Macaca mulatta: one gene and its partners. Each later gene encodes a partner of the first gene's protein in a complex. Links are inferred from orthologs where the notes say so. Each region holds a gene or a part of one and is shown in the gene's direction. Other genes may lie near its edges.

The links.
Region 2: CNOT2 (region 1) and CNOT6L share a complex: the UniProt entries of both Homo sapiens proteins name them as parts of the CCR4-NOT complex. The link is inferred for Macaca mulatta from reciprocal best matches to the Homo sapiens genes CNOT2 and CNOT6L.
Region 3: CNOT2 (region 1) and CNOT6 share a complex: the UniProt entries of both Homo sapiens proteins name them as parts of the CCR4-NOT complex. The link is inferred for Macaca mulatta from reciprocal best matches to the Homo sapiens genes CNOT2 and CNOT6.

The regions. Positions count from the first base shown.
Region 1 is NC_133416.1:77,414,956-77,418,611, forward strand, and holds part of CNOT2 (CCR4-NOT transcription complex subunit 2), read left to right. Parts: coding exon 1-12; intron 13-939; coding exon 940-1,060; intron 1,061-1,162; coding exon 1,163-1,319; intron 1,320-3,656. UniProt on the Homo sapiens protein: Component of the CCR4-NOT complex which is one of the major cellular mRNA deadenylases and is linked to various cellular processes including bulk mRNA degradation, miRNA-mediated repression, translational repression during translational initiation and general transcription regulation.
Region 2 is NC_133410.1:56,072,927-56,076,582, forward strand, and holds part of CNOT6L (CCR4-NOT transcription complex subunit 6-like), read left to right. Parts: coding exon 1-196; intron 197-2,673; coding exon 2,674-2,876; intron 2,877-3,656. UniProt on the Homo sapiens protein: Has 3'-5' poly(A) exoribonuclease activity for synthetic poly(A) RNA substrate.
Region 3 is NC_133411.1:189,587,566-189,591,221, forward strand, and holds part of CNOT6 (CCR4-NOT transcription complex subunit 6), read left to right. Parts: coding exon 1-102; intron 103-2,249; coding exon 2,250-2,452; intron 2,453-3,656. UniProt on the Homo sapiens protein: Poly(A) nuclease with 3'-5' RNase activity.

The DNA.
Region 1 (3,656 bases):
GACAGTAAATCTGTAAGTAACTGAGAACTATGTGAGTGAGTGATGTAGTTTTTCCCTTCAGATTTCTCTTATATTAACAGTTACTTACTAAATACTGTTACAAAACTGTTTTATCTTGATATCTGTAATAATCTAACTTCTGAAGAATGTGGAAAAGCTTTATAACTTAGAAGATAGCCTATTTTTTTCCTATTTCATATAGGTTTGCAAATTTCTGTTGAACTTCTCAGAGTTAATTTAGACTTTTATTGTAGTCCCTGTCAGCTGGATCCCATGAAGTTTGATAATATAGCCTTCTAAGGAGCTGTGTTTTTCTTGAGTAAGTTTTCTCCTTGAAGAATTTATACACATTTTTATACCTGTGTTGATTCAGCCAACTCAGCTTCTTCTTTCTGACTTAACAAATATGTTTATTTCTTCCACATTTCACTGAAAATAGCTTTTCTGTGTGTGTGATGGGAGTTTATATATTATTAAAATAATTGATAAAGAAGATTGGTAAGAATTAGAATAAGTACAAAGTTTTAAAGCTTATATGTTCTAACTTATCTTCGAGGTAGCTTTGGTGATTTTAGGTAATATACTGTATTTAGTTTCTCTTTTACATGAAAGCATTGAGGAGTGTAACTTCAAGTGTATCCCAAAGCATAAAGACCTGAGAAAGAGATAGATTTTTTTTTTCTGTGACTGAAGATCTGAGATAAATAAGAATATTTTCCCTTGATTTCTTTTTCTTTAAATACTCAAATGTGGATGATATAGGATTTATTTGTATACCATGGAACAATGATGGAAACAATTTTCTATAGAACTTGAAAAACAGGTAATAATTTACTACCAATTTAAATATAATAAAGAATGAATAGCAAGGTATTAATATGTGAACTTTTTTGTATACTTAACAAATTTTAATGTCACATTTAATTTTTTTCATGCTAGAATTTGAATACATCTGGCAAGACAACTTCAAGTACAGATGGACCCAAATTCCCTGGAGATAAAAGTTCAACAACACAAAATAATAACCAGCAGAAAAAAGGGATCCAGGTGTTACCTGATGGTGGGACTCTAGAAATCTATGTCAAAGATGTTATAGAATGCTTTTTTTTTTTTTTTTTAACTTTTCCTTGAAAATAAAAGCAACTGTGTTTTTTCTACCCAGGTCGGGTTACTAACATTCCTCAAGGGATGGTGACGGACCAATTTGGAATGATTGGCCTGTTAACATTTATCAGGGCAGCAGAGACAGACCCAGGAATGGTACATCTTGCATTAGGAAGTGACTTAACAACATTAGGCCTCAATCTGAACTCTCCTGAGTAAGTTTTTTCTGTTTTTCCATGTCTGTATATAATACCTCTTCAGACTTCCAGTTTTTAATATCATGTCATCAAATTGTCTCACCTACTGCTACTCATTGTAATCTGTTTTTTCTCTGGGTCATTCGCTTGCATATTAGCTCTTAGATCACTGGCACTCTGCAGTATTCCTTTTATAATTTGGCATTTTATATGTCTGTGTGCATGTGTGTGCATGTGCAAGTATGTATATGTGTGTGTGTATGTATGTGTATATATATACACACACCTTCCACAATCCTGAAATCTCAGCTCCTTGAATTTCTTTCCTCCAGGAATTTTTGTCCTGTAGTATACTTCAGCCACTCCTTTAGTTATCCCTTTGACCTAGTCATTGTTAGTAACTGCAGTCTCTCAATTTTAAAATCTGTGCTCACATGCTTTCCGATTTCCACTTTCTATTTTCTAGTTATCTTCTTCTGGTACTGTAATTCCTGTAATCATTTCACTCCACCGGGGCCTTCAATCTATTGATTCTTCTGTGTTTTAACTGTTCTTCCATATCCCTGTCTCTCTTCCTCTGTAATCAACTCCCTTCTTACCCATGAAATTCTGTGGTCAGTCGTAATTGTTCATTTACATATCCCGTGACTACTTTGCCGTTTTCTCATGTTGTTATACTTGCATGGCCAAAGCTACAGTACTGGTTGTTTCTGCCTATTTCATTCCTGACCTGTGCTACTGAGCCCTGCTAGAGAAAAACACATGGTATCACTGCCTGGGCTTCCTTTATTTTCGTACCCAGGAACCTCAAAAGTAGGCTCTTAATTCTACCAGGGATAATTATACCTTGCATGCTTAGTCCATTTACTCTTTTCTCTCTTACGCAATTACATACACTTCTGCACACCCCTAATACCTTTTCTCCTTGTTCTTACTATCAAATGATGACCTTGCTTTTTACTTTTACTGTCCTAAGAAAGTTGGAAGCAATTAGAAGAGCACATTTAGCACAATCTAGCCACCAAATCTGACTACCTACAGCCATCTACATCTACGTTATTCTTGTCTTCCACCCTATTACTGCAATTGACCCATGCGTTCTACTTAACAACAGATTTTCACACTTTGTTGGGTCATTTTCATCAACATAGAAATACATTGTTACTTCTCTCATCTTAAAATCTTCCTTTGATCCAATCTCCTCTGTAAGTTACTTTCCCATTTCTTTATTTCCCTTTGAAGCAAAACTTTTCAAAGAATCATCTCAATTCCTCCAACTTGGTCTTCTCCATTCTCTGGTAAGCCCATTTCAGTCAGGATTTTGTCCCTGCCACTTCACTAAAGCTGCTTTTATTCAGGTCACCAAATGACCTCTATGTTATTAAATTCAGTGATCACTTGGAGGAACTCTTGCTCCTTAATACACATTCTCATCCTTGAATTTGAGAGCACCATTTTTTACATCATCCTCACTGGTTGGTCTTTTTCAATTTCCTTTGCTGGTACCTCCTCCTTTTCTTCTTGACCTCTTTGTGTCATTCCTCTTCTCTGCATTTATATCCTTGATGATCTTTTCTAGTCTTATTGTTTTAAATACCATATATATTAAGGAATCCCAAACATATGTTTCCATTCCATACTTCTGAGTGTGAGATTTCTACATTCAATTGCTAATTAAATATTTCTTGAATTATCACCCCCCAACTTACTCTGTCTACAGCCTTTCCAATCTCAGTCAGTGGTAACTCTGTACTTCCAGAAGCTTGACATTATTCTTAACTCCTCTTTCTTTTATACCCCATAATCAGGCTTTTGCCAAAATATATACAGAATCTGACCAAAGTTCACTACTTTTTAACTGCTACCACCCTTGTTTGAATCATTCTCTCTTGCCTGAATACTCCATTAGCCAGTCCCTGGGGGTCCCTGATTGTCCTTATCCCCCTTCTCATACAATCTCTTCATATAACAGCCAAGAGAGTCCTTTTTAAATAAATTACTCCTCTGCTCAACACCCAGAAAGAGTTTGTGGTTTCATTATGATTAAAAACCCCAAATCTTTTTTTTTTTTTTTTTTGAGACAGGGTCTTGCTCTTGTTGCCCAGGCTGGAGTGCAGTGATTCTATCTTGGCTTACTACAACCTCTGCCTCCCAGGTCCAAGCGATTCTCCTGCCTCAGCCTCCTGAGTAGCTGGGATTACAGGCATGTGCCACCATGCCCAGTTAATTTCTGTATTTTTAGTAGAGACAGGGTTTCACCATGTTGGCTAGGCTGGTCTCAAATTCCTCACTTCAAGTGATCTGCCCACCTTGGCCTTCCAAAGTGTTGGAATTACAGGTGTGAGCCACTGCACC
Region 2 (3,656 bases), on another chromosome or scaffold:
CTGCTTATAGTGGCAAATGCCCACATGCATTGGGACCCAGAGTATTCTGATGTGAAGCTTATCCAGACCATGATGTTTGTCTCAGAGGTTAAAAACATTCTGGAGAAAGCCTCTAGTAGGCCTGGCAGCCCAACTGCAGATCCTAATTCCATCCCGCTGGTGCTATGTGCAGATCTTAACTCATTGCCAGATTCAGGTATTTATAACATCATTTCCTCACTGCTTTCAATTTCACTTTTACTCTTGGGTTCAGAGGCCAGCTAGCTCCTAAATTTTGAATAGATAATTTCTCTTCTAAATTAGGGAATGTATCAGTAAGAATCCCATGGATGGGACACAGGGTAATAGAAAAGAGTTTAATAAAGAAGCTATTTCCAAAGGTGTTGGCTGGTTTAAGGGAAACAAAGCAATAAATGATGCAGTACTCTGCCCCTAGGGGATTTAGTAATAGATCTCTTTACCACTCCTGTACCTAAAAGGGAAAGTAGTGGGAGCTGTCTGTCATCAGAACTTGGAAAAAATACAGTTGTAGGAAAGGGCCACATAATAGGAGTGATGGCTTTGAATTGCATGAAGCAGTCAATCCCTGGCAAACCAACAAGAAGGGTACCAGGGTAATATATATTCTTACCTCACTCTGCTTCTGTCCTCTGATCTCCTGCCAGGCTGCCCATTGATCAAATCCAACCAGAAGCTAGAGGGGGGAGGGATTTGCAGTTGATGCAATAAAGATCAGCTTCCTGAGGCACAGAGTGTACTGCAGAAGGGTGATCTGAAGGGGCAGCCAGAAAATATTCATTACAGGTAGCTATCTAGTTTAATAATGTTAGCAACTTTTAAGTGAATTCATTAAGTGATATTTGGATACTGTTAGTAGGTACAGAAGAATGATTAAAATTATCGTAGGACTTCATATTACTTCTTGAGCTCCTCTAAACTACTTTATGTCTGAACTTATATCATTTTACTTTTTATAAAAATAGTTTCTGCATTTTAGGTATCAAATAGAAAACATTAAACTATTACTCTTTTGCTAATACCAAAGCATATGTTAACTTTTGTATATTATCACTACTAGGCTATTTTAAGTTATTTAAGTAAGTAACAATAAGGTTACTATAAGATAACCTAAATGCCTCCATTTGGAATATTAAAAAAGTCACTGAACGTGAAAACATCTTTTTCTTCTTAGCAAATAATGCTGAAATCATTGTTAATAAATATCTGTCTTTAACCCCTAGCCTGATTGGCACTTTAACCACATGCTCCTTTCTTAATCCTTTCTTAAGTTGAATTACTCTCAAGTGCAAGTTTTTCTCCCATTGTATTTGATTTGTTAAAGCCAGTTAGCTGGCATTTGGCAATACAACGTAGTGAAATGTCTTTGGTGCCAGACTGTCATGGTTGGATCCTGATTCTGCTACTTATGAACTATGCAATCTGTGACTAAGTTCCTCATTTTTCCTTTTATTTTTTTGTTTTGAGACAGAGTTGCGCTCTTGTTGCCTAGGTTGGAGTGCAATGGTGCAGTCTCGACTCACTGCGACCTCTGCCTCCTGGGTTCAAGCGATTCTCCTGCCTCAGCCTCCCAGTAGCTGGGATTACTGATGCATGCCACCACGCCCAGCTAATTTTTGTATTTTTAGTAGAGATAGGCTTTAACCATGTTGGCCAGGCTGGTCTCGAACTCCTGACCTCAGATGATCCGCCCACCTCGGCCTCTGAAAGTGTTGGGAGTTTACAGGCGTGAGCCACCGCACCCAGCCTAGTTCTTCATTTTTAACAAGGGGAGAATCATGTTATCTACTTCATAGAATTGTTTGTGAGATTTACATGAATAAAGCACTTAGAACAGTGCCTGGCATGTAGCAAATACTAGGTAAATAATAGTGCCTTCTGAGCTATTTACAATACTGATAATTGTGCTTATCACACATTCATTATATCTTACTATCAATCCTTATTACAAATAGAAGGATGACTCTAATAATGCACTAATCATAAGGGTTTTGATACTGTTTTCATGTTTGCTAATTCAGTGGAAGCAGTGCACTTTTCTGAATGCTATTCTTCTCTTCAGCCTTGTATTTTTAGCCAAGTGGTATATTTCTGCCATATAATATTCTTTATAGTGTCAGACTGAGAAAACTCACTGTAGCTCAAAATAAAGAATGATACTGTCTAGCTGACACTAGACATTGAAATGTTAAAGATGCAAAATCTGTTTTTGTTGTAAACGTTTTTTATTAATATGTTCTACTTATATATTTGCAGAGTTGTTGCTTAGAATGGGAAAATGCTAAAAAGATAGTGGTTTGGAATAATTTTCCGAAAACATTTAGGGTTAATGCCTTCCTGGTGAATGCCATCCTAGGTCCTGGAAATTTTTGGCCTGAAGAACCACCAAGAAAACTAAGGATATCTTTGAGTGTTCCTGATATATTTTGTTCTGAAATAGGCAAACATCCTTTGATTCAATTGATTGAATCGTATGAAATGGCTGGTATTTGATTTTTTATTTTTAAATAATGACAAAAGGCAGTTTTATATGGTTCAATCTAAGAAAACCATTCTGAGCCTGGTGGATTAACCTGGTAACAAGTCTTGGCTGTGAAGCCTTGTGTAAGGTCTGAATGCTAAATGGGAGTGTCTCTTTTTTCTTTATTCTACCAGGTGTTGTGGAATACTTAAGCAATGGAGGAGTAGCTGACAACCATAAAGACTTCAAGGAACTAAGGTACAATGAGTGTCTTATGAACTTCAGCTGCAATGGAAAGAATGGAAGCTCAGAAGGGAGAATCACACATGGCTTCCAACTTAAGAGCGCCTATGAAAATAACTTGATGCCTTACACCAATTACACCTTTGATTTCAAAGTGAGTGGCAGCCTTTGGGCAGGTGTAGAAATTATTTCAGATACAAGCATGTAACAAAAAGGTGTAAATTCTTTATGATTAATTGTATAATCTTCAGGAATTTTTAGATTCTTAAAATGTCTAGGCTAAGTATGCACCTAGATATAAGTAGGTTCATTGGGTTTTATGGCTATTGTCTTAAATTCTTCTTGCTCTCTCGTTTGTTTAGATTTTAAATAATATAATAACAAAAACTTTGAAATGCTCACTAGGTACGAGGCACTTGTCAAAGCACTTTGTATATATCAATATAGTTAACCCTCACCTGCTCAAACCATCCCTAACTTTCAGCAGTAACCTCCCTCCTGCCCCCGACAGAAAAGCACTGAATATAGCAAAACTCACTTTGAATGAATTTATGTAGTATTTTCTCAAGATTTTCTTTCTACCTTCCATTGATGTCTTAGTATCTTTAAATTTTCAGGTTTCTTTTGGGAATGGGGTTAGAGAAGGTTGTACTTTGGTTCTATTTTATATCCATGTATTTGTACTAATATATTCCTAGGCAGTGGAACACTCTGAAAGAAAAAGACATTTTTTGACAAATACACACAAAAAAATGGAAAGGCCGATTGTACAGGACCAGCTCTTCTTTAGAAAGACAGATTGTGGTGGCTTTATGTAATCTCTTTTCCAGTGCTAGTTTTCTGATCACTCTGTGTACCTGTGACTCTGCTATTGTACCTCTCTTTGACTTTCTGGCATTTCAGGCATCTATAGTAGAATCTTACACTATCTGGA
Region 3 (3,656 bases), on another chromosome or scaffold:
TTATTGATAAAGCCTCTCGCAACCTCAAATCCAGTGTTTTGGGAGAATTTGGAACTATTCCACTTGTGTTATGTGCAGATCTTAATTCTTTGCCAGACTCTGGTAAGAAAATAATGTGATTTTATGTAGAATATTTTTTGACATAAAATGATTTAGTAATGTTTTGTTTCTGATCATTCCAAATTAAGTCCAAATAAAAATTCAGTTTGTAATGGCAGCTATGAGCAGGTTTTAAACGTCACGTTGGGGTGGAGGGGCCATTTTGAAGATGAAACGATATTGTGGAAGCTTGAGGAGAAGGATGTTAATCATTTTGAATAAACACATAACCAATAACGTGAAATAACTCTTTAAAGAACGTATGTAGTTCCGTTTTATTACCCCCAAGTCAGAGATAATTATGGTATTGAGACAACCCCTTTGGGATTCCAGCATCTGGTAATATAATCATAGTTTAAATTTGAGTTAAAATTAGGGAATCTCAATTTTGCACGTATTTGTAACTTGATTAGAAAAATACACCTCAAGTAGAAATTGAGCTCCTTTATTTACACACACATCAGTCAAGCGATTTTAACAAAGAGCAAGGATCTTGATTATTAAAATGTAGAATACAGAAAGCCTGATCTGGAATGCTCTTTCCATAGATAGTATGCAATAAACAATAGCCCTTGTAATAACAAACTGTTTCTTCCTTTTCGTGTTTCCACTCATTTGTACACACAGGAATACTTCTCCTTGGACTTGAGTGTATGCGTGAACACACACACATGCGCATTGGGAAACACATTATTGACATCACAATAGATAGAGCCATTAGGAAGAAAGAAAACCCCAGCACGTTGGGGAGCCGAGGTGGGCGGATCACTTGAGGCCAGCAGTTCGAGACCAGGCTGGCCAACATGGTGAAACCCCGTCTCTGCTGGAAATACAAAAATTAGGCAGGCGTGGTGGTGCAGGCCTGTAATCCCAGCTACCCGAAGGTTGAGGCACAAGAATGACTGGAACCCCGGAGGCAGAAGTTGCAGTGAGCCAAGATTGTCCCACTGCACTCCAGCCTGGGTGACAGTGAGACTATCTCCAAAAAAAAAGAAGAAAAGAAAGAAAGAAACTGAGTTAAAATTCGATTTCAGGCCGGGCGCGGTGGCTCACGCCTGTAATCTCAGCACTTTGGGAGGCCGAGACGGGCGGATCACGAGGTCAGAAGATCGAGACCATCCTGGCTAACACAGTGAAACCCCGTCTCTACTAAAAATTCAAAAAATTAGCCAGGCGTGGTGGCGGGCGCCTGTAGTCCCAGCTGCTCGGGAGGCTGAGGCAGGAGAATGGCATGAACCTGGGAGGCGGAGCTTGCAGTGAGCCAAGATCACGCCACTGCACTCCAGCCTGGGAGACAGAGCGAGACTCCGTTTCAAAAAAAAAAAAAAATCGATTTCAGGGAAAATCAAAGCTATCTAAAATCTGTAATTATTTCATTTCATCAGGTTGTCTGGAGATTACTGCTGCTGAAGCAGTTGAGTAGTAGTCTCTGACAATTTCTCTACATGCTTTCTACTTTCTGTGTAGCTACAAAGTATCTGAGGGGTAAAGAGAAAATCTAGTCACACATTAATACCCAAGACCCATTTCAGCATTGAGAAATACGATATTGTAATAGCAGGCAGGTCAGAAAATGTCCAGCCTTGCTAATTTGTGAATAAAATGCAAATGAAAGTTTATTTTCAGAGCCCATCTATGCTTAGTAAATTGGGAAAATACTTGACTAGGGATGTGGACGCTTGCTCTGTAACTAGCTGGTGGTATTCTGTTCCATAGCTGGCAGTATCGTAAAATGGCACATTCAGTCCTAATCTTGGGATTTTATACCAAGTAAATAATTGAGCATAAGCAGGAAGTCTGCATACTAAGATGTTGATTGTGGTGTTATCTTTAATTCTTTGTAAAAAGTGGAAACTACCTGCATTTTACAAAATAAGTAACCATAAATATTATCCACCAGCCCAGTTGCATTGTGCATTAAAGAATGATAATTGGGAAGACACATGTTCATAAAGCAAAGTATAAACTATTCAGTATTCTGTGATTACAGCTGTGTAAAAATAGATTTGGACAAGTCCTGGCAAATGTAAAAGGAAACATTTTGGAACATGGGAGTATGTAGTTTAAAACTTTTTACTATTGCATGATCTTTTAAAATTACTTTTTGTTTATATTATATTTGACAGTAAAAAAAATTGTCTTCATTGTAGGTGTTGTAGAATATTTGAGCACGGGTGGAGTAGAAACAAATCACAAAGACTTTAAGGAGTTGAGGTATAATGAAAGTCTTACCAACTTCAGCTGTCACGGGAAGAATGGAACCACCAATGGAAGGATCACTCATGGTTTCAAGTTAAAGAGTGCCTATGAGAGTGGCCTGATGCCTTACACAAATTACACGTTTGATTTCAAGGTGTGTCTTGAGACTGATAAGTTTTTCAAACCTCTATTTTACTGGCAAGTCTGCTGATGCATCATTATGTCTTTAAAAATGTGGATGTGTGTTCAGACTGGAATGAAGCAATCTTGAATTGATTGACAGCAATATTCTTTGTTTTTGGTTTGAGACAAGGTCTCACTCTGTTACCCAGGCTGGAGTGCAGTGGTACAATGATGGCTCACTGCAGCTTCAACCATGTGGGCTCCAATGATCCTCTCACCTCGGCCTCACCAGTAGCTGGGACTACAGGCGCCTACTACCATGCCTGGCTAATTCTTGTGTTTTTTGTAGAGATGGGGGTCTCACTATGCCCAGGCTGGTCTTGAACTCCTGGCCTGAAATGATTCTTGCACGTCAGCCTCCCAGCGTGCCGGGATTACAGGCGTGAACCACTGTGCTCAGCCAGTAATATTCTTTTATTACCTTCTTTAGAAGTCCACGTGATTGCTGTTATATCCTTACTTTGTAGATATTTATTCTAATATTTTTCAGGATAAGAAGTCAGATGAAATAATCTGTAAAATTCCTGAGTTGACTTTTTCACCTTTTGGGGACAATTATGTTTTTGGTTTTTTTGAGACGGAGTCTTGCTCTGTCGCCCAGGCTGGAGTGCAGTGGCCGGATCTCGGCTTACTGCAAGCTCCGCCTCCCGGGTTCACGCCATTCTCCTGCCTCAGCCTCCCGAGTAGCTGGAACTACGGGCGCCTGCCACCTCGCCCGGCTACTTTTTTGTATTTTTTAGTAGAGACGGGATTTCACCGTGTTAGCCAGGATGGTCTCGATCTCCTGACCTCGTGATCCGCCCGTCTCGACCGCCCAAAGTGCTGGGATTACAGGCGTGAGCCACCGCGCCCGGCCGCAATTATGTTTCTTATATTCTCCTTACTAATAGCTAGATATACAGCACCATAGTAACTAATTTGGGTGACATTTGGGGTAAGACGTTCCGTCTCTTAACATTTTAATTGAAACTAAACTCTTGCATGCCAAAATGTGGTTTATGTTAGCCATTTATAAGTGTTTCTAAGATACATCTTTTTTTACCCCCCAGAGAATCTTACCCTGTTGCCCAGGCTGGAGTGCAGTGGCACGATCTCAGCTCAGTGCAACCTCCACCCAGGTTCAAGTGATTATTATACCTCAGCCTCCCAAGTAGCTGAGATTACAGGCGCCTGCC